Linked DNA regions of Saccharomyces cerevisiae S288C. The gene in region 4 interacts genetically with the main gene of each other region. Each region holds a gene or a part of one and is shown on either strand. Other genes may lie near its edges.

Region 1 (3,268 bases), on a different chromosome or scaffold from region 4:
TTATGGACTGAATAAGGAAAAGTTATTGTTGCTAGCAAAAGTTAAGGAAGGCTTTGAAACTAGCGTTTTCGATTTCCCATTCAAGAATATTCAGCCTGATTCTCCATATTTTGTATGCTTAGATCCACCGTGTAAAAAGGAAAGTGCATATAATAAAGTCATAGGGGATAAAAACAGAACCGTATATCATGAAATTAATAAGACTGAATTTGAGAATATGATCAAATTGAGAACGAAGAGATTGAAGTTACTTATCGGGGAAGTTGATGCAGAGGTATCCACTGGCGATAAAATAGAGTTTCCGGTGCTTGCTAACGGCAAAAGGCGCGGCTTTATTTACAACGTAGGAGGATTGGTAACAGATATTGCATGGCTTAATATAGAGGAAAATACTGATATAGGCAAGGATATACAATATTTAGCCGTCGCGGTATCACAGTACATGGATGAGCCTTTGAACGAGCATTTAGAAATGTTTGACAAGGAGAAGCACTCCTCCTGTATACAAATTTTCAAAATGAATACTTCTACTCTACATTGCGTAAAAGTTCAAACCATTGTACACTCATTTGGTGAAGTGTGGGATCTTAAATGGCACGAAGGATGTCACGCACCTCATCTGGTTGGCTGTTTATCATTCGTAAGCCAGGAAGGGACAATAAATTTTTTGGAAATTATTGATAATGCAACCGATGTTCACGTGTTTAAGATGTGTGAGAAGCCTTCTTTGACTTTATCCCTGGCAGACAGTTTGATAACTACTTTTGATTTTTTATCTCCTACTACTGTTGTTTGTGGCTTTAAGAACGGATTTGTAGCAGAGTTTGACTTGACTGATCCTGAAGTGCCTTCATTTTATGACCAAGTCCATGACTCCTACATATTATCCGTTTCAACAGCCTATTCAGATTTTGAAGATACAGTCGTCAGTACAGTTGCGGTGGACGGCTACTTTTACATTTTCAATCCAAAAGACATTGCTACAACAAAGACCACGGTGTCCAGATTCAGGGGAAGTAATTTGGTTCCAGTTGTTTATTGTCCTCAAATCTACTCGTATATTTACTCAGATGGTGCAAGTTCCTTAAGGGCTGTGCCGTCTAGGGCTGCTTTCGCAGTTCATCCTTTAGTGTCGCGAGAGACGACCATAACGGCCATTGGGGTGTCAAGATTACATCCAATGGTCCTTGCTGGATCAGCAGATGGAAGTCTTATTATAACCAACGCAGCTAGGCGCCTTTTGCATGGCATTAAAAACAGTTCAGCAACTCAAAAGTCATTAAGGCTTTGGAAATGGGATTATAGCATAAAAGATGACAAATATAGAATTGATAGTTCTTATGAAGTGTATCCGCTGACGGTCAACGATGTTAGTAAAGCTAAAATAGATGCGCACGGCATTAATATAACATGTACAAAATGGAATGAAACGAGCGCTGGAGGCAAATGTTATGCATTTTCTAATAGTGCTGGACTATTAACACTCGAATACCTGTCATGAGATGGACTTTACGTAATAAATACAATTTGTGACATTGAACTATTGTTGACGAAAAAAACTATCTTTTTTTATTGAAATGAAAAAGGAATAAAATAGCCTAATGTAAAATATCGCCTGGCTAGCACTAATAACTTTGAGTATTGTTGCAGTTATTCCTGCCGCAAATTATGTATTAAAATTTATACAGATATTGTGCCATAACTTCAGTTAAGGGTAAATTATCAAATTCTCGATATCCGTGGTCACTTTATACGAGTTTCTCTTTCCGTGCCTATATTCCTCGCGATGAGATTGAGGTAGAAAAAATATCTGAAAAAGAGTTGTCAATATATTATCTATTATGTCCTTATAATTTTATCATTTAGATTGTTCATGAGGCCCACATTTTCATAGGATTGCTAATTAACTCACAAATATGGTTCAAGCTATCAAATTAAATGATTTAAAAAATAGGAAGAGAAAAAATGTGGAGGAAGAAAATGGCAGTGACGAGTCTGAAATTGACATTAGTAGCACCGATTCAGAAAATGAAGAAGAGCAAAATGGAGAAGAAGAGATCGTAAATATTGACTTCGATTTTTTCGGTGGTAACCCAGAAGTTGATTTTCATGCTTTAAAGAATTTACTGCGTCAGTTATTTGGTCCTCAAGAAAGTACCAGGATTCAACTAAGCAGCTTGGCAGATTTGATCCTAGGTTCCCCAACCACCACAATTAAAACAGACGGCAAAGAATCTGATCCATACTGTTTTCTTTCATTCGTTGATTTCAAAGCTAATCATCTAAGTGATTATGTCAAATATTTACAAAAAGTGGACATGAGACTTTCCACTTTCTTCAAAACTATGATTGATAGTGGTAATAAAAATTGTGCTTTGGTTCTCAGTGAAAGGCTGATTAATATGCCACCGGAAGTCGTTCCACCTTTATACAAGATTACGTTGGAGGATGTTGCCACGGCACTTGGCGATGACAAACATTATGACTTCTATATCATCGTCACCAGGAAGTATGAAGTAAATTTTGACACTGACGATGATACCGACTCTGGTAAGAGGAATAAAAACAAAGACGAAAGATCCAAAAAAAGGGTGAAGGCCGATGAAGTAGACTACTTTCATGAGGAGGACCGATTTTTTGAAAAATATGCCAAGATTCACTTCGAATCAGAAGCTAAAAAGGGTGTTATCAGCTCATACATGATTCTTGATCACGAAGGCCTTGTCAAAAGTATCGATGAATTGGAAACAGAAATTTCCACTTGGTAATTTTACGAAAAGTAAATAGTTGCGATCACTGCCCTGCACAGTTAGTGCAATTTGTATATTATTAACAGACGAAGCAGCAGCGGCCATTGAGCCTTTATGTCATCCTACACGGATAATTTTGGGCTGCCGAGGACAGTAAAAATTAATCCGCCACCGCTGAAAATTTTTCTGGGCGATCATCTTTTTAATGTCGTGTGCTCCAATAAAAATACATAGTATATATTGTGCAAAGTGAAATCAGATTGTAATTCAAGAAAGGTCATTCACCCTGAGCCTTATAGAACATAGTCAGCATATAAGTGTTGAGCATTTTGAGCCGGGGCATACAGGTATTTGCGGCGTAACTACAAAATTTCTGGTTCTTCCCCCTTTCGAACCGTTAGAAGGGATAAGGATTTTTGCGTACTTGCTGCAGCCGCGAAATTTTCAAAGGCCGGCTATTACCCGTAGGCGTTAGCCGCCGAACAGATAGAATATAAAGATTATTTAGAGACATCATA
Region 2 (9,756 bases), on a different chromosome or scaffold from region 4:
ATGTGTTTACGATGAATTAGTGGATTCTTGCAGGGCGGGCGATCGTATTGAGGTGACTGGCACGTTCAGGTCCATCCCCATTAGAGCTAATTCCAGGCAACGCGTACTAAAGTCGTTGTATAAAACATACGTCGATGTGGTCCACGTTAAAAAAGTTTCAGATAAGAGGTTAGACGTCGATACTTCTACTATTGAACAAGAATTAATGCAGAACAAGGTAGATCATAACGAGGTCGAAGAAGTAAGACAAATTACTGATCAGGATTTAGCAAAAATTCGCGAGGTTGCGGCAAGAGAAGATTTATACAGTTTATTAGCCCGCTCTATTGCCCCAAGTATTTACGAGCTAGAAGATGTCAAGAAGGGTATATTACTTCAGCTATTTGGCGGCACGAATAAAACCTTTACCAAGGGTGGCCGTTATAGAGGTGACATAAATATTTTACTTTGTGGGGATCCTTCTACTTCCAAATCGCAAATTTTGCAATACGTTCACAAAATTACTCCTCGTGGTGTGTATACTTCGGGTAAAGGTTCATCTGCCGTTGGTTTAACTGCTTATATTACAAGGGATGTCGACACAAAACAACTTGTTTTGGAAAGTGGTGCATTAGTATTGTCTGATGGAGGTGTTTGTTGTATTGACGAGTTTGATAAAATGAGTGATTCTACAAGGTCCGTCTTGCACGAAGTCATGGAACAGCAGACTATTTCAATCGCAAAAGCGGGAATTATCACAACACTTAATGCCAGAAGTTCTATTTTGGCCAGTGCTAACCCAATTGGTTCACGCTACAACCCCAATTTGCCTGTGACTGAAAATATTGATCTACCGCCCCCACTACTTTCGAGATTCGATCTGGTCTATCTTGTCCTTGATAAGGTTGATGAGAAAAATGACAGAGAACTAGCCAAACACTTAACAAATCTTTACCTGGAAGATAAGCCCGAACATATTTCTCAAGACGACGTGCTACCAGTTGAATTTTTAACGATGTATATTAGTTATGCAAAGGAGCACATACACCCAATAATCACCGAGGCCGCTAAGACTGAGCTTGTTCGTGCTTATGTAGGAATGAGAAAGATGGGTGACGATTCGAGATCCGATGAGAAGAGAATCACAGCTACCACAAGACAACTTGAAAGTATGATTCGTTTGGCTGAGGCGCACGCCAAAATGAAATTGAAAAACGTCGTAGAGCTGGAGGATGTTCAAGAAGCCGTTAGATTAATTAGATCAGCCATAAAAGATTATGCAACAGACCCTAAAACCGGTAAAATCGACATGAATTTAGTTCAAACAGGTAAATCAGTTATTCAGAGAAAACTACAGGAGGATTTGTCAAGGGAAATTATGAATGTTTTGAAGGATCAGGCATCAGACTCAATGTCATTCAATGAGCTTATAAAACAAATCAATGAACACTCTCAAGATAGAGTTGAGTCTTCTGATATCCAGGAAGCCTTGTCAAGATTGCAACAAGAGGACAAGGTCATTGTCCTTGGCGAGGGTGTAAGGAGATCAGTTCGCCTGAATAACCGTGTCTGATGCTGTCTACTACAATCATTCCCTGCGTAACAATTAATAAATACTAATTAATTATAGCAAGTTTGTATTTTTTACATCCTTATGCTTTGTAACACTATTCAATACTGTATGTAGGCTCGATTGAGTGGGCGGCTTTTTTCTTATTCCTGATTGGCTGAAAGAAAATATTGTTAAACGCACTAAATTTATCCCGAAGGATGATTACATTTAAAGACCGAAAAATGAAGATGCAAAGATCCCTCATATTTTCTACTCCAGTCCAAATCGACAAGATAAACCTGCCGATAAATCATATTTCAGAACGCTAATCAATTCATCATGCTAAGCAGGATCCAAAATTATACCAGTGGGTTGGTTTCTAAAGCAAATCTTTTGTCATCAAAGGCTTTATACTATGGTAAAGTCGGTGCCGAGATTTCAAAACAGATTTATTTAAAAGAGGGTCTTCAACCACCAACTGTTGCCCAGTTCAAATCAGTGTATTCGAACCTTTATAAGCAGAGCCTAAACTTTGCTCTAAAGCCTACAGAAGTTTTATCGTGTTTAAAAAACATCCAAAAGAATGAACTATTAAAATATGGCGCATATGGTATTCAGTTGATAGGGTTTTATTCTGTCGGTGAAATAATTGGAAGAAGAAAATTAGTGGGATATAAACATCACTAAGCTTTTTAATTCTATCTATTCGCAAAACCCTTGTATATTCGTTAATTAAATTAAATCAATGTACAAATAGAACAAAACTAGAAAAAAGAATATATATTCATCTCAATTCTATTTATTTTCTTTTCATGACATACAATGGCATTAAAAGCGATATCGAGTTATATTACATTAGCTTCTTGCCGCCAGTTATTTATGAAATAGGCCAATATAACTTTTCTGTAAAAAAGAAAACTTGACCTCAGAGCTTTCATTACACTTATTAAGAACAACATACTTGTTGCACTATAGTAAAAACTACAGTGAAATTGATCTCAGGATCATTAGTAATTTTTCTCACTATAAGAAAAAAAAAAAAACATATATTTTGCTATGAATTATAATAAGTAAATATATACATATATATGTACAGAGAAACTGACGAAGAAAATAAATCACCCGTTAATGCTTCTTAGGTGCTCTTGAAAGTTTTTATAAACTGAAGAGTCAAACCTAGAAAAGTTATTGTCCAAATCAATGAATGTTTTCGCAATTTGACAGCTTTTATAGTAATAATTGGCATGTTTTCTATCATCAGAGTAAAACTTTTGCTGTGGGAGTTCACCGTTACTATGAACTACTGTCTCTTCATTGCCTGCGTCGTCATCGATACAAAATCTCTTCCTACCCTCTCTGCTTTTTAATTTGTTATCGGGGGAGGGAATAAAGCCCTTGAATAATTCATAGGCGGCCAGAGTGAACCCAAATTGGGGAGAACTTCTTAGGACACGGGCTCCACCACCTTTGAAAAAGCTTCTAAAGCTCTCTTCCTTTAAGATAGTTCGGATAGCATGAAATATACCGTTATACTTTGTCTCACCTTTTCGAGGATCTATCTGGAGCCTTGTTTTTATAACATCAAAAGGAGTAGTCAAGAAGGCAGCTGGCATACCAGCAATGGCACCGGCAGTTAAAAGCTCCCATGTTTTTAATCGATTCCTCTTTGTTTTATCATTTGGATCAAAATCAAAGAGATCTTTTTTTAAATGTGCATAAGTGGGAAAATAAATAGCAGAGAATGGAACATCTCTCATTAAACATGCGGCTACACCATTGTACAAGCCCCTCAGTCCTAATTTTTTGACTATTTGAGTGGCAGTTTCATTGGCTTGTTGTATGTTTTCACCAACATAGTCGGATTGGACCTGTAGCCTAATTTTTACAATCTCTAACGGATTAGTAAATATAACTTGACATGCACCAGCTGAAGCGCCAGAAATAATTTCAGGAAAAAGGCTTAGCTTGCCGTTTTTATCAGTCAACCTGTTTCTCATAAAATCATTGACAGTCAATTTTATCGCCTTTTCAGGAGCAACTCCTATTAATTGTGGCCCTAAGCCAGAGTAGAGACCTTTTATTCCTTCGCGGGATATAATCTTCAACAAACAATCAATTGAGTTTTTGTATTGGGCTAAAGATCTTTGGGCTTGCATCCTTGTTTTTATAAAGTCTATTGGGTATACTACAGTTGCACCAATACAACCCGCAATAGAACCCAAGGAGAAATTGTACAACGAATCGAAAATTGGATAAAAGTAGTAATTAATATACAATGACTCATTTTGATTTTTTTGCAATTCCATTTGGTGAACTAAGTCGTTCAGGTAATTTGGGTTCAAAATTTTCATGAAATCTTCAATTGTTAAGTCAGAACGCATCGTTGCTTTATCTTTTTTACCTCCAAATACAGATTCAAACAAGCCAGTACTCGCTTTTGAAGCTTTTTTAACACCAGAGTCTTGGTCAAATCCATCCGAGAGATCATGATAATAGTCATTAAAACTTTCTAAATTTTTTCTGGATCTGCTTACTCCATGCAAATACTCATTATGGATAAAAAAATCAATATCTGAATCATAATGGTGATCATTTAATAGCTCGTCATCTCGATCTTGATTTCTCTTTCTTAATCTTCTGTTTTCCTTTGAATTTGCGACGATAGAAAATAGTAGGTTGATTTGGGAAGGAGAGAACTCAATGATATTGTTTACTTTGTTATACTGGGCGTTTAAAACTGTCATAAAGTCATTTTTAGTAACTATTTGTTCCCTAATATCCTGCTCATTCAAATTATTTTCAGTAACATACTTGTGAAATATTTGGTTCAGTAGGTCAAAATTTTGAAATAAATAAAATATATCCTTGAATACATTGTACGGAATGGAATTATTGTCCGCTTTTAGTAATTCGGTGTTTGATAGATTCAAGGAGGAAAATATATCTGCAGACACCCTGTGAGAGTAAAATAACCTTAGAAGATAGGTGAGTTGATTTTTGCTTAGGGCTAAACGATGCCCTTGTGAGTCCATCTGTGCCAACCTATCAAAACCTATAAATATTTTTTCATTCTTAAGATCATTTTGTAAAATCGTGACCAGAGAGTTTAAACTCAAATACTCTTCATTTTCATGATAACATTTGTAAAATTTCAGAAATCGAAAGTCATTCCAATCAAGTAGTAATTTGTTATCTTTAACAAAATTATCATCAATAGATTCGTGCAACAGGCGGATAGTATCTTTGAATTGGTTCAGATTCAAAAGAAGATCATCAAAGCTTAGAAATCTGTTACCATAATTAATTGACTTAATTCGATCATCTGCAGCCTTTAAATTAAACGACGAACTACCAAGCTCTTTTTTTTGTTTTGCCTTCAAATTCTCTACATCAAATTTCCTAAAGAACTCATATAGAATAATGAGATGATAATTATCATATTCTAATAAATTATTAAAATAAAACCAATCATTAAGCGTCAGATATCCCTTGTTTTGTTCATCAATAGCGAAGAAAATACACCCGAAAACGTTCTTGGGTATCTGGTTCAAATTGAACGAATGGTCCGTAAACTTCGAATAAATAGTCTTTGAGCTAGATATCAGTTCAATGAAATCGTCGTATGTTAAAATTAGTTCTCCTGTAAGCTTCTCCGTGTCAGGTTTCCCATTTCCTGCTGTGAGTTTACTGGAGTTCACTGTCGGCATATCTAACATACCATTACTGATACTAATAGGCTTGTCCTCTTTTGTAAGGACACTTGCAAAATATTTGAATACTTCCAATTGTTGCTTCTTTTTTCTACTGTTCGAATTGATTTGCTCCATAATAGTATAATAATTCTTTAAGGTCGGTAGCAAAGCTGCATACTTTCAAACTACGCTATGAAAGTTATGTACTTTTCCAGTGAAATATGTTCACAAAGAAGGGATCAGGCTACTTCGAAAATTATGGCAAACGCGAGGTTGTGAGATAAAACTTGAAAGTCTGGTGAGATTAGATATCAAATCTTAACATATAAAAGACAGGTTCGTCTTGAGGTATTTATCTATCTTCGAAATATTTTTTTCTTTGCTTCGAATACTGGTTAATTCTGAGATTCAATATATGTTTCGAGATGTTTTTCCAACATGCCGGCAGTACTCCCCTAAAGCGATGCTGCAGAAATTTTTCATAACCGCTTGCAGTGGGATGACCAATAAAGAAAGCTCTTTCTCCTACGTAAAACATAGATCATACTTACATGTAAAATATGAAGCGCAATTATATACAGTGTCGATTTTATTTAACAATTTCACAGCTGGCAGTTTACAAATGTTTTCATAACCATTTCATTAATCTAACAATAAATATGATGATTTACCAATATACGAATATAAACTAAACATCAAACATGTTATGACAAGTGGGTGACGTTTTCCCTAGGCTCCTTTCCAAACAATTATCGAAGAGTTTTCCGAATTCGCGCCCTAAATCCCAGTAGCTCTTGTTGAAAATATCTCTCATAAACTGCATCATCCCGCATAGAAAGTGGGTATTAGAAATATGTTGAAGTAAACTCGCTTTTGCCCAAACGTCATTCTGAAAGCTAACTACATCGAGTGAGCTATCCACATATAAGTTCCGATACATTCTCAATAGGTAAACTTCAAAACTTTCTATTGGAATGTAATTGTTCTTTTCCTTTAAATTGTTGTTTGCAATCGTCGATCCATTATTATCAGTATTGCCTAGAATGTTTCCACCATTGCTGTCATCTGGTTGAAAGCATTCATCCTTTGAGGCTTCTGTATTATCCCATATGCTAACTTCACAGCCATGTAATGCAAAATTACAAGACCAAATTAGGAGTGAAGTTAATGCAATCGCATAGGGTCTAGTAATCACAGGATCAGAATTTATATTGTAGCTCTTCACTACGGTTGGAACGTTATTTTCCTTAATGATAAACATTTCAAATAAGAACTGGAAGGCATAGACTACAGCTACACCCCCATTGTAGGGGTCCTTAGCGAACTGGAGAATCCTGCGACTGATCATGTCATATTCATCGCGACCAATTGGTACATTCATTCTCCAAGGTGCTCCTGCATATATGTAATAATCATGATGAAGAATACGTAGGACAATTTGAGAGATATGAATAACGGGAATTTTACAATTTGACGGATTATCGGAGGAAAGCAAGTCCAAATCATCATCACATAGTCCATCTCCATTATCCTCGTCAATTTTTCTGTTCGTTAGTGTCTCCTCAGATGGAGTACTTATCCTACATGCTTTCGGATCAGTGCAGCTTTTCTGAACTTCGTGAAGCCAATAGTTCATTGCAAATGATAAAATATCTTTCCATGAAAGGCCTAAATGATCAGTGATTCCGCCCCTAAAGTTAGTAATGAAATAGTCACCATTAACTTCCTCTTGACATTGAAATAAGATCGAAATTATCCCCGCCAAAAGAATCTTTTTACCAAAAAGACTCTGAATATTCCAATCTGTAGTGCTTTCCAAGTCTGTAGGGGTACTCTCTATTCCACCATTGTTGACTTTGTTTCTCCGTATATTATTATTTCGTAAGATTTGAATGACATTTTTCATTAATTGCATTAACGCAGACAAAAATGTATTATTCTCATCTCTCTTTGTGCTGCCATACCCATGCTCCATCAGAGTTTCATAGCTCAAATCATAAGATTCCCACACTTGATCTGGACAGGGTAAAGTTAGTTGAATCTGATTGCTATTAATAAATAAATTCCAGTATCCAAACACTACAGCATGTGTAGTGTCCATATAAAATGCGTAGAAAGCTATTCTTTTCAACATTTCAAAATCAATCCATCTTTTATAAACTTCTTGTGGGTCTTGAATTGAATTTTCCCCAGAGGTTTTGCCGGTTTTGACCATTAAGGGATGGCCGCCTAAAGAGGGCGTTCGCCTTAGCAATTGAATGGTCGTTCCGTGATGTAAAAAAGACCTTTCATGTAAATACCTGTTCGTACTTGTTTTTTCATATCCTTCGACTAATAATAAACTTTGAATGATGTAGGTTTTAGAAGGTGGTTGAAAATCAGCATGAGAAAAAATTATCCATCTTAGAGGACCACAAATTGGGTCACTAATCTGTTCACGATACTCGCTTCCCAAAAAACTTGCGCCAGTCATAATTAGTGCCAAATTCAAAATTGCAGGCTGTTTATCAACGTGAAAAGAGGGTTTGTGAAGCAGACCGTATTGTGGATGGAAGTTCAACCAGAAGGATTTTAACGATTTGTGTATAGATTCAATAGAGACATAGCGTAATTCTGGAACAAATGAAAACATTTCTTGACATTTTTCTTTTGATATCTTATACTTTGTTAAGGGATCCGGATGGAAAAATGACGGGACACTTTTCATAGAGTGACGCAACTGTTCCTTGTAGTTCAGAGAGGAATTGTTTCCTACTCCTGAATCTTTAGATGATCTCCGTTTTAGCTCGTTGATATTAAGCTTCTGACTGGAAAGATTGTCCTTCACTGAAGTACTGGGGTTATCGTTGAACTTCGGTTGTGCTTTGGGAATTTTAATGTTATCTTGTGGTAACTCAAACATAACTGGAGGATTCTGGAACCCTTCGTCTTGTTGAACAGGTTTTTCATTAGGTGGGATTGTATTCTTGTCAGAAAATGTATCTTCAATACTTACTTGCGGGGCTTCAGAAAGTTCTTGCATGAAAGATTGTAATGGGTCGCTGTTCAAAAAATTTGTAGAAAAAAGGTCCTGCATAACTGACAAATTAGCACCGCTAGAGGAAGATGTTAATGGATCTCCAAATGGATTCTGGGGTGGTAATTGTTGTTGTTGTTGTTGTTGCTGTTGCTGTTGCTGTTGCTGTTGGGCAAGCTTTTGCTGCTGAAAGTACTGTTCCTGTTGTTGATCCTGGGTAAGTGGCTGGAGTGGCTGCTGATATGAACTACTTGCAAAATTTCTGTCTTGATATCGTTGCTGCTGCACGGCTGGATTGATATTCATATTTTGGTCATTGCCATTACCGTTGTTATTCGCTGCATCCACTTCAAAACCATTAACGCCTGTACGGTTATCAAATATCAAATTAAAAAATTGATTACCATTTTGACCGTTGTTCCTTATTCGAGGATCATACGATGGAAAAGTAGGACTTGCTTGCTGTGGATGCATTTGTTGCTGCAACATAGGTTGTTGCAATGGTGCCCGCAGTTGCTGCGGGAATTGAAGTTGCTGCAGTTGTTGAATTTGTTGTGGTTGTTGTGATTGCTGAACCTGTTGAGGTTGTTGAGCCTGTTGAAGAAAAGGACGAAATTTTGATTCTTGTGTGATAGATGGTGGTGGATTCACAGAATTTTTTATTAAGTTAATCGTAGAAGTTCCACTTTGCGTAGAAAGGGGTACTTCACTGGGATTATATGGTGCATTTTTGGAGAAGTCCTTATTTGATGAGGAAATCTGGTCCTTGCTTGGCCGACTTAATCTGTTTTTCACCTTTGAATGCCTCTTTTCATGTCTGATCAGTAAATCTTTCCTTACAAACGTTTTATTGCAAGGCGCATTTGTAGTAGGAAGCACGTAAGAACAAACATATATCTCTTTCGGCCAGTGGTTTAGCTTGTGTCTTGATAAATGTTCCTGACGTGAGAAAGTTTTATTACATTCGGGATGTGGACACCTAAATCTTTCAGCAGGAGAAGAGCTTGAATTTGGTGATAAATCGTTATCATTTTCCCTTTTCCGGAGCCTGCCAGCCAACTCTTTGCCGTGCATTTTTGCCAATATTAAGAGCTAGCTTCACTGCTTTATTGGTCACTTTTTATAATTATAAACATAGTAGATGAGTCCTAGAATCTCAATACAGCCTTTAAAACTATTAAAGAAGCTGTTCGCAACTCACAAAAAAAATAAAAAAATAAAGCAGAACGAAAAAAAAAAAAAACAAAAAAAACAGTTAACTATTCTAATTACTTAGAATCTTTAAAAGTCTTACTGTAATTCGATCAGTGGAGAAGGAAAGCGCACATGTGATATCTCGCAATTTCTTCTCAAACTACCTTGACAGTAATTTTTCTTAAAAACGATTGGCTCCTACATGAAATCCACGAAAAAGCACGGTAGTCTTGTTAGAGGACACTGATATACGAGGAAAGAATTGATAAAGCGGAAGGTCTTTGGAAACAATTCAAGACCGATGACATAACTTTTAAGAGGTA
Region 3 (8,119 bases), on a different chromosome or scaffold from region 4:
AAGAGCGCAATATTTTTTCCAGATATATTATTGGTGGTAATTGTTACTATTCTTATTTCCATGAAATTTAATTTAAAACACAGATATGGTATTTCTATCATTGGCGACTTTAGCATGGACAATTTTGATGAATTGAAAAACCCTTTAACTCGTCCTAGACGTAAGCTAATACCAGATCTTTTTAGTGCATCTCTAATAGTGGCAATGTTGGGTTTTTTTGAATCTACGACCGCGTCGAAATCTCTTGGAACAACTTACAATCTTACCGTTTCCTCTAATAGAGAACTAGTAGCTTTAGGATTCATGAATATTGTCATCTCATTATTCGGTGCTCTTCCCGCATTCGGCGGATATGGAAGATCCAAGATCAACGCCCTATCAGGAGCACAAAGCGTAATGTCGGGAGTGTTTATGGGTGTCATCACCCTAATCACAATGAATTTACTTCTTCAATTCGTACATTATATTCCTAATTGTGTTTTATCCGTCATAACAACCATCATCGGAATTAGTTTATTAGAGGAAGTGCCAGGCGACATAAAGTTCCATTTGCGATGTGGTGGCTTTAGTGAACTATTTGTTTTTGCTGTTACCTTCTGCACTACAATATTTTACTCAATCGAAGCAGGAATATGCATCGGATGTGTCTATTCAATTATAAATATTATAAAGCATTCAGCAAAGTCAAGAATCCAAATTCTGGCTAGGGTAGCGGGAACGTCGAACTTTACGAATCTTGACGACTACATGATGAACATGAAAAGGAACTCTCTGGATGTTGAGGGCACAGAAGAAATCGAGGGATGCATGATTGTTAGAATACCTGAGCCTCTCACATTTACAAACAGCGAAGATTTAAAACAGAGACTTGACAGAATAGAGAGGTACGGTTCGTCTAAGATACATCCTGGAAGGAAATCACTTCGCTCGAAGGATTCCATAAAATATGTCATTTTCGATTTAGGTGGGATGACCTCAATAGATTCTTCAGCCGCCCAAGTGCTGGAGGAAATTATCACTAGTTACAAGAGGCGCAATGTCTTTATTTACCTTGTCAATGTATCTATAAATGACAAAGTAAGAAGGCGATTATTCAAAGCAGGTGTAGCTGCTAGTGTGGAAAGAGCGCAAGCAAATAACAACGAAAATAATACTAGCAACACATTTAGTGATGCAGGAGAGACATATTCTCCGTACTTCGATAGCATTGATGCGGCTCTTTATGAAATTGAGAAAATGAAAATTAAAGGGAACAACGTCCCGAACAATGATTCGGAGAGTTTTATGTCCAATACTTTATTTAATTCAAGTCTAGTGTAAAACTTCGAAAGAAACAGAGGAGTCTGGGCATATGCGCATTATGAAATTTATTCCTTGCGGCCCTATAATATTTTTGGGGCTTATTTATCAAAACAGTATTGTCTCCTCAATTCTTTAGTTTATTTATTTCTTTACGATAAAATCGTTAACAAGCTTTCAAGAAGCGCATTTATACGTTATAAAACCCACAAAATTGAATACAAAAGCAAAACCTTATTGTCTTAATGAGCCGCACAAACGCACAAACACTTAAACAATCACTTTTGATCCGAGTTTCCGCTCTCCTCGCTCTAGTTAGATTCTAATCTTATATAAGTTATATAGGATAAGTGATATTCTGTATGAGAAAGAGATGAATTGAGAGACAGTCCCTAATTCAAAGAAAGTCGAAATGTAAAAATTAATAATGTATATTGTCAAGAGATGTTCGAATTAGTTGATAATTGTTGGAATTTTATTGTTGTTAAAGGCCATAATATTTCGTATATATATTATACTAGAATTTCTCTATGAGAAGAATCCACGAAGAGATCGATATTCTCGATATAATGGCATTATTGTTTTCCTTTTCATCTTATGTGACTGTCATTCATCATCCTACTAAATTACCAATCCTTGCAATTAGCTTCCATTACACCTGATGACTATTCTCAATCTTCATATCATCTTCTTAGACCGCACGTGATGATATTGAGAAATGGGTGAATGTTGAGATAATTGTTGGGATTCCATTGTTGATGAAGGCTATAATATTAGGTATACAGAATATACTAGAAGTTCTCCTCGAGGATATAGGAATCCTCAAAATGGAATCTATATTTCTACATACTAATATTACGAATATTCCTCATTCCGTTTTATATGTTTCATTATCCTATTACATTATCAATCCTTGCACTTCAGCTTCCTCTAACCTCGATGACAGCTTCTCATAACTTATGTCATCATCTTAACACCGTATATGATAATATATTGATAATATAACTATTAGTTGATAGACGATAGTGGATTTTTATTCCAACAGATATATTAGTAATATGAACACTACTAAATGGATGATATTTTAGAATTTTTATTCCAACACTTACAATAATACTAGCCCAAAGATGATAACTGACTCTGATTCCAACACTGTGGATTGAGTTGATAACACCCATTTATCAACTAATCCTGTATTGAGTTTTTAGCTAAGGTGGTTAGAGCATAGAAATTGAGCGGATTTAGCTCAGTTGGGAGAGCGCCAGACTGAAGAAAAAACTTCGGTCAAGTTATCTGGAGGTCCTGTGTTCGATCCACAGAATTCGCATTTCTATTTTTGTATTTTTCCATGAATTGACGAACTCTTGCAAGTTGAAGAAAGAAAAATAAATAGAGCCAATTATTTAATTTTTTAATAGTTATTATTATGTAGATAAATACCAGTAAAATTAAGCCAGCATAATTAGAAAACCGCATGTTCTTTGGTTTAATTATGTTTTGAAAGTGATTTCTTGTTTATCGAAACGGCGCCTTTTGTCTTTAAAAATTGAAGTAGGTACCATGCCGTTCGCTCTTAAAGAGCCAACCATTCATCCCTCAGTAAACAAATCCATGTATTTGTCGATTTGCATATTCAAAAAGTTTGTTTTTGAACTTACCTTCATTATAAGGTCGACTTTATCAGGGCTCTCTACAAAATGTTCGCGCAGATGCCTTTGAAATTTATTCATTAGTAATGGTATTCCTTCCTCTCGTCTAAATTTGTGACCAACAGGGTACTCTACAAAAATTTCATCCAACTGCGTCCCATCGTTCAGCTCTATGAGAAGAGCGTTTCCTATCGACCTTTTATCAGGATCGTGATAGTTTTGAGTGAGATGAGTATCTTCGATACAGTACATTTTCGATCTCAAGTTATCGATCTCAGGATTTCTTGCGACCTCATCCGAATAATCAGTAGCTGTGAGATTACCAGTAATCAGCGGAACCGCGATCATGTACTGGATACAATGATCCCTATCGGCATAATTATACAGAGGACCGGATTTATCTATAATCCTCATTGCCGCCTCTTGAGTTCTAATTCTGATCGATTTAATATCTTTAAAAGTTTTCCCTTGTTTGGCAAGAATCCTATATGCTTTTACAGCAGCTTCTACAGCAGTTTGCGCATGGAATTCGGCAGGAAATGATATCTTGAACAGAACGTTTTCCATGACGTAGGAATCATATTTTGATCTTTGTTGGAATGAAAAAGGTTTACCCTTAAATAAAACGTCATAAAATCCCCAGGTTCTAGCTGTTAATACTGAAGGTATCGTGCCAACATTAGCATTTTTGACTAAATAAGCCAAGTTTACAGCCCTCGAAACTGCATCTCCCGCCGCCCACGACTTTCTAGATCCAGTATTTGGGGCATGACGGTAAGTACGCAGTGATTGACCGTCTACAAATGCTTGTGACAATGCTTCAATAGTTTGTTCCTGGCTCAGGCCCAGCATCTTCGAGACAACACCAGCCGTTGCTACTTTCACGAGTACCACATGATCTAAACCTACTTTATTGAAAGAATTTTCGAGCGCTATAATACCTTGGATTTCATGCGCTTTAATCATTGCCTCTAATACGTCTTTAACAAGAAACTGTTTTCCATTCTTTCCGTGGGTAGCCTTGTTTAATCTGGACAAGTGATCCGCGACAGCTAAAATTCCCCCAAGGTTATCTGATGGGTGCCCCCACTCGGCAGCTAACCAGCAGTCATTGTAATCTAACCAACGTATTAGAGTACCAATGGCAAAAGCTCCCTTCACTGGATCCATAACGTAAGATGTGCCCAATATTTTTGTTCCACTGGGAACTATTGTTCCTGGCACAATTGGTTTAATAATATTTTGAGCCTGCTTAAATTTCAAAGCCGCCAAGCCACAGCCTAGAGTATCAAGGAAACAGAGTCGTGCTGTATCTAGAGCCAAAGATGATTTTAATGGGGTTTCATGGACATATTTCGCGATGTCCTTCAAAACCTTATCTGGATTTGGTCTTTCATTAGTTTGTATAGACGCTGTACTCAGCGCAGCAAATTTCTTTTTAGGCAAGCATACCTTGATTTTATTATTTTTTAGATTTTTGGCTAAAAACATTCTGTTTGCTCTCGATCATCAGAGAACAGTAGAAAATACCAAAATACTATTTGAGAAAGTCCTAATAAGTTATACATACATTATGGCAGATTTATATACCTTATACACTTTCTTTGGTCATGCTTTCACATTAGTGAAGGTAAACATATGAGGGTAAAAGTTGAATGACTAGAATGTGGAGAAATAAGGTCATCTCAATAAAGTTTGTAAACGGCCCGAGGTCCGACATCGGGGAAGTGGCTACCTATAGACAGCATCATATATCAGAGAGATTGGGGACGAAAAGCGCGATGTGGTAAAAAAATAAGTCAAAACTCCAGAAATAATACAATCAGAGAAAAAAAAAAAAAATAAGAATATATTTTACTAACGAGATTGGAATTGCTGAATAATTTTTTGATAGGTGTGTTAACCGACCATATTTTCCCCTATATGTTTTCATGATGAATATGTATAAATTAGCTATGATTAGACATGCTGTATGGAATTTTATTTATATTTCAATATTGTAATAGCAAACGAAGCATTCTTGTAAATTGGAACTGCGTTACAACTTGTTAACATTGCTTGCTTTGGTAAGTGCTTCCAGACCCTCCAAGTTCAAACTCTTGGGCCTTTCAATTGGTAAACCTAGAATGCGATCCCAAACAAGTTGTGTCAAGGGTCCCATGGCCCTTGAACACCCAAAAATGACGGTAAAGAATAATAATTCCCTGATTCCATAATGATAAAACAAAATCCCCGATGCAGAGTCAACATTGGGAAATGGATTCTTACTCTTTCCGTGTTCCAACAAAACCTTAGGCGCTATTTCTGCCAATTTTTGCATCAACAAAACGTTCTTGTCGTTCTCAAATTCAATAGGCCTCTTTTGCGCAAATTCAAGCATTGCTGTAAATCGAGGATCCGGTTTACGCAAAACTGCGTGCCCATAACCGGGGATCACACGGTTTGAATTCAAAATTTTCCAAAGATAATCTTTGATTTCTTGTTCTCGTGCAATGCTGGAAATATTAGAGTTCATCTCTATGAGAAACCTTACTACTTCTTGTGCTGCTAACCCATGCAAAGGACCCGCTAATCCCATTATTCCAGATGAATAGCTGAGATACGGGTCACTCAACGCACTTCCAACCAAGTGGGTGGTGTGAGCAGAAACATTACCACCTTCATGGTCTACATGTATACCGGTATATAACCGCATCAAGTTTATGAAGTCCAGGGATTGCTGGGAAGTAAGGTTGCATGTATTAGAAGAGTTCGTTCCATTTGTCATGCCGAGCAGGGAACATATGTTTGTACACCAATCCACCTCCTCACTATATTGACCTAATGGGTGTCCCTCATTTGTAATGTTCGAATAAATTCTCCCAGTCAGCAGCGGGAGTGAAGCAATTAAATTTAGCGAATCTTCAAGAGTATCTTTCCAAAATTCCATCTTTCCTATGAGGCCCTTTTGGTAGTTTGTAGCAAAGAGGGATCCTTTGTTCATTGATGCTAAACCAATTGCAAGTTGGGTCATAGGGTGCATATCTTTGGGTAAACTTGACAAAACTTTCTCTGTATAATGTGGCAATTTCCTTCCACGAATAGCCAATTCTTTCCTGAAAGAAGCAGCTTGCTGGAAAGTTGGCACACCACCTGTCATCAACAGCCATAACATTGATTCTGGCAGGAAATTATCGCCATCAATACCTGTATTAGGTAATCTATTTTGACATTCTTCAATCGTTAAACCTTGAAATTTAATGCCATGTTCGGGATCTAATGATGTTCCTTGCCAAAACATTGACTGATTACCTCTCATCCCACCTAGAACTGATGAAATGGTAATCGGTCCGACAAACGTGCTGCCATAACAGGCCTTCAATTTCTTCACAGCATCTCTTTTCTTAGGTATCACGTTTTCTAATGCTTCCTTGAGAGTCAATGCAGAAGACTTTATAATTGCAGACGAATTGAAGGACCTTCTGCATATATGTGCGCCCGGTAGAAGCCTTTGTACCATTTTGTATTCAATTATTTAGCGGCGTCTATGTATAAATTCTTGATCAAATACGATCTTTTTTTTATGATTAGAATGCTTGACAAGCCAGTCATCTTAAATACATAGGGATGAAAAAGCTTTATCTCCTATTTAAGGTCATCCATTTTCAGTGTGGAGTAAGTCATCAAAACTGCTATTTAGCCGCTTTGCCGATTTCGCTTTAGAACCGCTACCATGGTGTGTCACTTCCCCAATTTTATTTTTCTGTTCAAATTGTTTGCTCATAGAAATATTTATGTTTTTTTGTCTTTCAACTGAATAATATTTCTATTTTCGGAAATCTTAACCAACAAAAAACAATTTTTTATTTTTGTTTAATTTAAAGAAAAAAATTATTTTTATAATTAAAAAAAATTAAAAATAAAAAATATATCATGTGATCTATTTGTGATCACTACCATGATAAGAAATTTTATATCAGTCAAGATAATCTCTTTAATATAACCTGTAATTTAGAATTACGACAACATAACGGCTTCAACCTTTGCATAAGCTTATATTAACTATAGAGACACTTTGATGATCATCTCGATGATGTATTTATAAAAGAATTTCTTATTTCAGGCTTGTTAAACAAATAAATATGTTATTATATATTTAATAAACAGTTAACCTTGAGATTTATTTATCGACTCTATAATACGCCTATAATCATCTTTGACTAAAATAAATGAATTTTGTAAAGCTTCTCTTGCCTTTTCTGGATCAGTTTGATCTAGGGCATCATAATTTTTAATGTACAACCTATTCTTTACCTTTAATTCAAATGATGGAGAATTGTTTAAAAGAAGAAGCATTTCCACAAGACGATTAAACTGTCTTTCTTCCAGTTTTAAAGATTTTCGGCTTGACTCCAAAAACTCATCAGAAAGGTCGGAGTGCTTCTGAAAGACAGCATCATAACCAAGTTTTCGCAGTCTTTGAATATCATTCCTGTCGCGAAGATCGTCAAATGCTTCGTTTGGATCCTCTACAGTAATTTCAGTAATACTTTTGTCTTCTAGCCAAGATTGGATTATAGCCTCATAAAGACAGGATCCGTGGCCTTTATTTTGATAAGGTGGAAAGATCAGAAATTGAGATATTTTGGCTCTGAATTTTTTATCTATATCCTCATCGAAAGATTTTGCTCCAAGGTAGTGCCAATACTTGTAAGTAGTGACGAAACCAATCAATTCTTTTGTTTTCTTGTTCAACAACCAATAGATTTGCCAACTCGGGTCAGTCTCATCTATATAGTTAGCGGCTTCGATAAAAAGTAATGAAAAGATTTGAACACGACGATGCATTCTCCTGGCAAAATCGTCAACCAAACTCGATTTATATACAACAAATTCTTCCCCATTCAACGAATACTCTGATACTTTTTCAAAAACATCAGATAAATTATGTGTTTTTCGTTCTTCTGCAAAGCAATCTACCCATTTAGCTTCATCCCTAACAATTACATCATCCTTTGGTAGAAATGAGAGTAATTTTTTTTCCACGTCTACAATATTGTCGTCTCCTAATTTTGCTGAATACTTGACGTTAACATACGGCTTGAATGTTACTGAATCAAATGCTAGGTGGATGATGAGATCCTTATAGCCGTAGATCTTTTCGGAGTCACCGTAAATTGGATACGTGAATA
Region 4 (7,367 bases):
GGTGTAAATACACAGTATTTTTTCAATCCAATGTCATATTTGTTCAAATTTGTTATTCAATGGAGTCAATGTGGTAGATATGAGCCAATTCCTGCTTCTTTGACAAACTACATTAATCTCTTCGAAGTTTTTCAAGATAAGCAGAAGGCTTTATATATATCAGAATCTGCTTTGTCAACCCTAGTCCTAATCGGGCAAATAAACGTCGGTTTCTGGGTAAGAAACGGAACTCCAATTACTCACCAGGCCCGGATGTATACAAAATACAGTATGCGAGAATTTACTTATATTAGTGACATTTTCAATGTGCAATTTAGTATGGCAATGTGCAATCCTGATGAACTGATGGTTACTTACCTCTCAAGGTGGGGTTTGAAGCACTGGGCAAATGGTGTACCTATGTATGATTATCCTGATACAGAAACAACTGTAGCCGTTGTTAATGAATGCATTCTGTTATTGATTCAATTGCTTACTGAAGTGAGATCATTGGTCATGAAATCATCAAAGGAAGGCTTCGAGAGAACGTTCAAATCAGAAATAATTCATGCCCTTTGCTTTGATACATGCTCTTACGCACAAATTGTTAACTGTATTCCAGAACATATCACCAAGCACCCTTCATTTGATATATATCTCGAAAAATACGCCAATTACACTTCTCCTGTAAGCTTGACTGACAATGGCATTTTCGTGTTGAAAGAAAAGTATAAAGATGAGATTGATCCTTATTATATAGGGTTGTCTTCCAGTAGGAGGTATGATGTAGAGAAAAATATCAGGCTGAATATGGCAAATTTGAAGAAAATGAAATATGAAGATACTTTTGTACCAGCAAAAAAGGTTAAAGATTTGTTGAAGAATACATTATTTTCTGGGCTGTATTCAATATCATCAGTGAATACTTTTGGTTTATTTTTGAAAAATACTTTAGATCACATTATAAAATATGATTATGACAATTTATTGCCGAGAGTGGTTCATTTGATTCATTTATGCGTGGTTAATAATCTGAATGAATTTATGGGGATACTGTGGCATGAATACGCAATTGTGGACACAGAATTCTGTCATTACCACAGCATTGGTTCTATCCTGTATTACTGTTTGTTGAAGGATAATTTTTCGGAATCTCATGGTAAGATTAGGGAAATTTTCAGGTATTTAATGGAAACAGCGCCTCACGTAAATGTAAACAGTTATTTGAGGGAGCAAACCACGTCATATACACCAGGAATATTGTGGCCTACAAAGGAAGATAAAAGCCACAAGGATAAAGAATTTGAAAGGAAAAAACATCTTGCTCGATTGAGAAAGAAAAAATTAATGAAGAAGTTGGCTCAACAGCAAATGAAATTCATGGAAAACAATAGTGTAGATACTTCCGATATTAGTACACCCAGAACCACATCACCTAGTTTATCTCCCACTAGAATAAATGCAGAGAATAGTAGTAACACAATCAACAGTTGCTGCGATGATGATTGCGTATTTTGCAAGATGCCGAAGGATGACGATGTATTTGTTTATTTTTCATACCAAGAACGGAACATATGTGATCATGGAATTGATTTTACGAATCCTACAGATGTTAATAGAATAAATTCGCTGTTCAGTGGTAAGCAAACAAAAGACAGTGCAATCCAAGAAAACCCCCAGGATGATGATGGAACGAGATTGAAATTTACTAGCTGTGAACCAGTATTAAGAGCATGCGGGCATGGGTCTCATACCAAATGTTTAAGTGGCCATATGAAGTCGATTCGCGGAATACAAAACCAAACTACAAAAAATATTCCATTATCGTATGGTTCAGGGTTGATATATTGTCCCGTATGCAATTCCTTAAGTAATTCATTTCTACCAAAAACAAATGATATAGATAAGAGAACTTCGAGCCAGTTTTTTATGTGTATTGAAAAGCGAAGTGAAGCGGAAGAAAACCTTGACCCAATGAGCTCTATTTGTATTAAAGCAGCGATGATTCTAGGTGATCTTCAGGGTAAAAAAGTCACGACTATCGAAGATGCATATAAAGTTGTTAATAGTGTTTTTATTAATACTATTTCAAATACTGAGCTCAGATTAAGATCGCACAAAAAGGAAGGAAAAATAGTGAATATGGAAAGAATATCCAGTCAGTGCATTTTAACCTTACATTTAGTTTGTGAGCTAAAGTCGTTTATTTACAAAAAATTTGTTAATTCAAAAACATTCAGCAGCGAAATCTCTCGTAAAATATGGAATTGGAATGAGTTTCTAATAAAGGGTAATAATGTGAATCTACTTTTGTATATGAGTCAAAATTTTGATAATATTGATGGAGGAAAAACCCCGCAACCGCCTAACCTATGTATCTATGAAATGTTCAAAAGAAGGTTCCATCAACTACTACTGTTGCTTGCAAGAGATATGATGAGAGTAAACTTTTACAAAGACTGTCGAAATAAAATCAAAATATCATCAAACGGATCTGAGGAACCATCGACAAGCTTTTCATATCTATTCAATACTTTTAAAAAGTATGTTGATCTCTTTAAACCAGACGACGTTCGGTTTGATTTTACAAGTTTAGAGAAAATTAAAGACTTTATATGCTCTCTATTACTAGAGTCATTGTCCATTTTTTGTAGAAGAACCTTCTTATTATTCAACATTCAGTATGATGATGATGGTGATGGTGATAATAATAATAACCGCAGCAATAATTTCATGGACGTCAAACAGCGTGAAATAGAGCTTATTTTCCGGTATTTTAAATTACCCAATTTAACTCACTTTTTGAAGGATTTTTTCTACAACGAACTAACACAAAATATAGAAAGGTATAATGATGGTAATGATAATTTGAGAATTCAGCAAGTAATATATGACATGGTGCAGAACATAAACACAAGAGCATATCCTTCACCAGAGCATATCCAGCTTATCGAACTACCATTGAACCTTTCCAAATTTTCCCTTGATAATGATGAAATATCGAATAAATGTGATAAATACGAAATCGCAGTATGCTTGTTGTGTGGCCAAAAATGCCATATTCAAAAAAGCATAGCACTGCAAGGTTATTTACAGGGGGAATGTACTGATCATATGAGAAATGGATGCGAAATCACCTCCGCTTACGGAGTTTTCTTAATGACCGGCACAAATGCGATATATCTGTCATACGGCAAAAGAGGTACATTTTATGCTGCACCTTATCTAAGTAAATACGGAGAGACCAACGAAGACTACAAATTCGGTACTCCCGTCTATTTGAATCGGGCGAGATACGCGAATCTAGCGAATGAGATTGTTTTTGGCAACATGATTCCGCACATAGTGTTCCGACTAACGGACGGCAGTGCAGATCTTGGTGGGTGGGAGACTATGTAGTTATCCAACAAATGTCTAGTCATTCAAAATTGCTACGAAATTAGCGTATCCGAAAAATCAAAAGAAATTTTATCTGTTTTAATTGGCGTGGGGAAGTGGGGTAGGGTCGAGGATCATTACGCTTTCTCGTGGGAAGGGACAGGGACGGACCGAAAAAAAAAGAAATGCCGCAGAAAAAGAAATGTTTTAGTGTGGGGTATGGGCTGAAGCTCGTATAGTGCAGGGTGACTTCACTTTTCTTTTTACCCTGCAGGAAATGGAGAAAGTGTTGATGGATAAGGTATATAGTCATAAGGTGACACAGCGTGGGTGTACATCTAGAAAGCTTGGCGATTCGAGCGAAGTGGTGGTTTACTCGTTTTATAATAAGAGTTTTTGGACATTATTTTTTCTTTAGGACACAGTTGATTCAAATTCTACACTTGTTTTGTCGTCTGGTAAAGTTTAGCCATTGTAAAGTGGACAAAGAAGAAGCTGCAACGCAGATAAGCTGAAAAATAGTTCACATCCCAACAGACAATCAAATTAAGTACATGATGGACTCGTCAAGCAAAAGCTTAACTCAGTATATACCCTCACCCATGGGATCTCTATCAAGGCTAAAGCAGAAGGGTGTGGACAATTTTCAGAAGGTGAAAAAATCCGGTAAATCCATCTATAATTACAACTACTCAAAATTCGTTCCTCATCCATTTTCAACTATTGATGAAAGTGTTAAACACTCTGAAAGTGGGCGGTATGATGATTTGGAGATAATTCGTCCAACAAAAGAAAAGGAAGTAACAAGTTCTGTGTACAAAAGAAACAGTGGCAAGTCTCTGAATACAGAATCTCAGTTTTCACTGGGAGATTCAGATGCAGCCACTTTGGTGAATTCAGTCGCTACTTTCAAGCTTAACAATGCTTCTACATCCACTTCACTGGTGTCTTCATCTTCAACTGTATGTTCTCAAGCGAAGTCCTCGTTACGTTCCCCAACAAGTCGTCTCAATGATACAAAAATCAAAGAGGAAAACAATTATATTTCCAGCGTGAAAGACTATTGCGGTCCAATGAGAAAATCCATGGTAAAGACGGAAATCCTCATTGAAGAACCTTTGAATCCTACTACCGATATCAAGTCTTTTATAAACTCATACAACCATGGCAAAGCGTATAGTCTAGGTGAAACTCAACATTTACATTATTATCAGTTGCCATTCCCATGGAGGGAAAACAGATACATAATCCATGGCTATAGGTTTTACAATACCCATTCCAAATCTTTGTTGTCTATCTTTAACTGGTACGGCTGGCATAATGAAACTTCAAATATTTGGTCTCATTTGTTAGGAGCCATTTATATAATCTACTTGGCAATTTACGATTTCCCTCAGTCTGAAGTTTGGCGGAATTCCCAGGTTCCACCACAGGCTAGATGGATTGTTTTCATGTTTTTGGCAGCTGCGTTGAAATGTATGCTAAGCTCCGTGTTTTGGCATACTTTCAACGGAACGTCCTTCTTGAAGCTACGTTCTAAATTTGCGTGTGTCGACTATAGCGGTATTACGATCTTAATTACAGCTTCGATATTGACAACGGAGTTTGTTACCATGTATTCATGTTACTGGGCGATGTACACTTACATGAGTATTTCTCTGGCGCTGGGTGTATTTGGTGTGTTTATGAATTGGTCGCCTCGCTTTGATAGACCTGAAGCAAGGCCATTAAGAATTAGATTCTTCATTTTGCTGGCTACTATGGGTGTATTGTCGTTTTTACATTTGATATTTTTGACTGATCTTCATTATGCTGCAACGCTATTTAGCCCCGTCACATACAAATCTGTTGTTTGGTATTTGGTTGGTGTGGTATTTTACGGTTCGTTCATTCCTGAACGGTTCAGATCTGACGTTCAGGTTGATAAGACCATTCCAACAAACTACGAATTATCTACTGATTTAGAAATCATCACAAAGCAAAGGGAAATTCATTTTAGAGAGGTGCCAACAGCCCATTCCAAATGCAGTTCCTGTCCGTCTCATGCCAAATCATTTAAATCTCTATGGTGGGTTGACTATTTTGGTTGTTCGCACACTTTTTGGCATTTCTTCGTAGTGTTGGGTGTCATCGGCCATTATAGAGCTATTTTAGATATGTTTGCCAAGAGGTGGATTTTGTCATGATGGTATGACTGACTACCTTTACTTACAACATCCTGCACTTTTTCTGTATACGATAAACGGACTTAAAAGAAAGAAAAGCCTACAATTACATTGTTGGAGAAGCCACATAGCAATTTCGAAAAAAACCAGAAATTGTAAACCACGAATTCTCCTGTATTATTTCATTGTTAAAATTTTTTTTTTACTTATATTATACCCATCTTTTTCGATATTCCTGCTGGCATTGTTTTGGCTACATTTTCAAGAAACTTTGGATCCAAAGACAAAAGGAACAAACGAAATCTAAAAGCAAAAAAAAAGTTGACTGATTATAAAAACTACATTACGACGAAAAGAAAATAATAAAACTGTGTACTTTTAGTTTTGCATTTATGTATTGACTGTTATTTAACTTATTATGACCTCATGAAAGAACAAAACTTAGCGTGTATTGTTCTGCTCAGTGCCTTGTATATATAATAATGTTCATGAAAAAATTTTTCTAGGCCGAACTTAAGTGATTTCATGCAGTAGTAAAAGTTTTTAAAATTTTTACTAAAATAGTTCTGAGAAAGAAAAGGTAAAACACGCAATGCCTATCAATCAACCGTCGGGACAGATTAAGTTAACTAATGTTTCATTAGTGAGATTAAAAAAGGCTCGCAAGAGATTTGAAGTCGCGTGCTACCAAAATAAGGTCCAAGACTATCGAAAAGGAATTGAAAAAGATCTGGATGAAGTGCTGCAGATACATCAAGTTTTCATGAATGTTTCGAAAGGCTTGGTTGCTAATAAGGAAGATCTACAAAAGTGTTTCGGGACTACAAATGTTGATGATGTCATCGAGGAGATCATGCATAAGGGAGAGATTCAATTATCGGAAAAAGAAAGACAATTAATGCTTAATAAAGTTAATAACGAAATGCTTACAATAGTTAGCGCTAAATGTATAAATCCTGTGTCAAAGAAAAGATATCCGCCCACAATGATCCACAAAGCTTTACAGGAACTGAAGTTCAGCCCTGTTATTAACAAACCTGCCAAATTGCAAGCTTTAGAGGCTATCAAATTATTGGTTTCTAAGCAAATTATTCCAATAGTAAGGGCGAAGATGAAAGTCAAAGTGGCCATAAGTGAGCCATCTAGACAACCCGAACTTATTGAGAAGATTAGTAAATTGATAGCTTCATCGCCTGGAGAGTCAACGAAGCCGGAATTGGATCCTTGGACATGTACAGGTCTTATCGATCCTGTCAATTATAGAGATTTGATGACCCTATGTGATAAAAAGGGAACTGTGCAAGTCTTGGATATGGCAGTCATAGATAATACAACGCATAACTAATTTATATAGAATCACTTTGCATACATATCTTTGATACACTTTAACACAAAAACTAATTTGCCAAAATCATTATCGTCAGCGCTTTGTTCCTTCGTTGCTCTCCATATCTTACTGCTCATGGATATCAGCAAGCTGAATTGCATGTTGTCTTGGGCCATCGTACCGCTCACTTCTGGTAGAATAACTCTCCTATATAGTTCGGCAATCTGTACGCATACCACGGGTACTTTAGGATCGGCACTATCTCCCAACTTGGTAACCACTTGATAATCAGATAAATGGTCTCTTACAAATTCTTCTTCCTCATCGTCATAATCGCCACCCGTGTTTCCTAGGTTTCCTGCCAGTGGTACGTTGATATCGAGAATTGGGTTTAGTCCTTTTGAAGATACCTCATAGGTGGAATCCATTTCCCCATTTAGTCTGATTTGCAATAGAATTGTGTTATTAAAGTGCGTGGCTTGTACATACAATTCTTTGTTTTCGGATGAAGCGTTCAA

Evidence for each region.
Region 1: mutations in SDO1 (region 4) and BCP1 impair growth when combined (synthetic growth defect), as found in Saccharomyces cerevisiae (2 studies listed by BioGRID, with this or other methods).
Region 2: mutations in SDO1 (region 4) and AGC1 impair growth when combined (synthetic growth defect), as found in Saccharomyces cerevisiae (one study listed by BioGRID).
Region 3: mutations in SDO1 (region 4) and CIT3 impair growth when combined (synthetic growth defect), as found in Saccharomyces cerevisiae (one study listed by BioGRID).

Annotation. Positions count from the first base shown.
Region 1 is NC_001136.10:1,194,912-1,198,179, reverse strand, and holds BCP1 (protein-transporting protein BCP1), read left to right. Parts: upstream 1-1,916; coding exon 1,917-2,768; downstream 2,769-3,268. Other genes in the region: transcription factor TFIIIC subunit TFC6, read left to right, coding at 1-1,501. UniProt on the Saccharomyces cerevisiae protein: Involved in nuclear export of the lipid kinase MSS4 and of the 60S ribosomal subunit. May also play a role in directing MSS4 to the plasma membrane. Plays a role in actin cytoskeleton organization and vesicular transport.
Region 2 is NC_001148.4:598,000-607,755, forward strand, and holds AGC1 (citrin), read right to left. Parts: upstream 5,359-9,756; coding exon 2,650-5,358; downstream 1-2,649. Other genes in the region: MCM DNA helicase complex subunit MCM4, read left to right, coding at 1-1,552; ATP20 (F1F0 ATP synthase subunit g), read left to right, coding at 1,871-2,218; SDD4 (Sdd4p), read right to left, coding at 5,912-9,313. UniProt on the Saccharomyces cerevisiae protein: Calcium-dependent mitochondrial aspartate and glutamate carrier. Transport of glutamate in mitochondria is required for mitochondrial transamination reactions and ornithine synthesis.
Region 3 is NC_001148.4:554,705-562,823, reverse strand, and holds CIT3 (citrate (Si)-synthase CIT3), read right to left. Parts: upstream 6,448-8,119; coding exon 4,987-6,447; downstream 1-4,986. Other genes in the region: YPR003C (uncharacterized protein), read left to right, coding at 1-1,320; PDH1 (putative 2-methylcitrate dehydratase), read right to left, coding at 2,889-4,439; histone acetyltransferase catalytic subunit HAT1, read right to left, coding at 7,095-8,119. UniProt on the Saccharomyces cerevisiae protein: Dual specificity mitochondrial citrate and methylcitrate synthase with similar catalytic efficiency with both acetyl-CoA and propionyl-CoA.
Region 4 is NC_001144.5:183,674-191,040, reverse strand, and holds SDO1 (guanine nucleotide exchange factor SDO1), read left to right. Parts: upstream 1-6,114; coding exon 6,115-6,867; downstream 6,868-7,367. Other genes in the region: putative ubiquitin-protein ligase UBR2, read left to right, coding at 1-3,378; IZH3 (Izh3p), read left to right, coding at 3,912-5,543; IRC25 (Irc25p), read right to left, coding at 6,879-7,367. UniProt on the Saccharomyces cerevisiae protein: Involved in the biogenesis of the 60S ribosomal subunit and translational activation of ribosomes.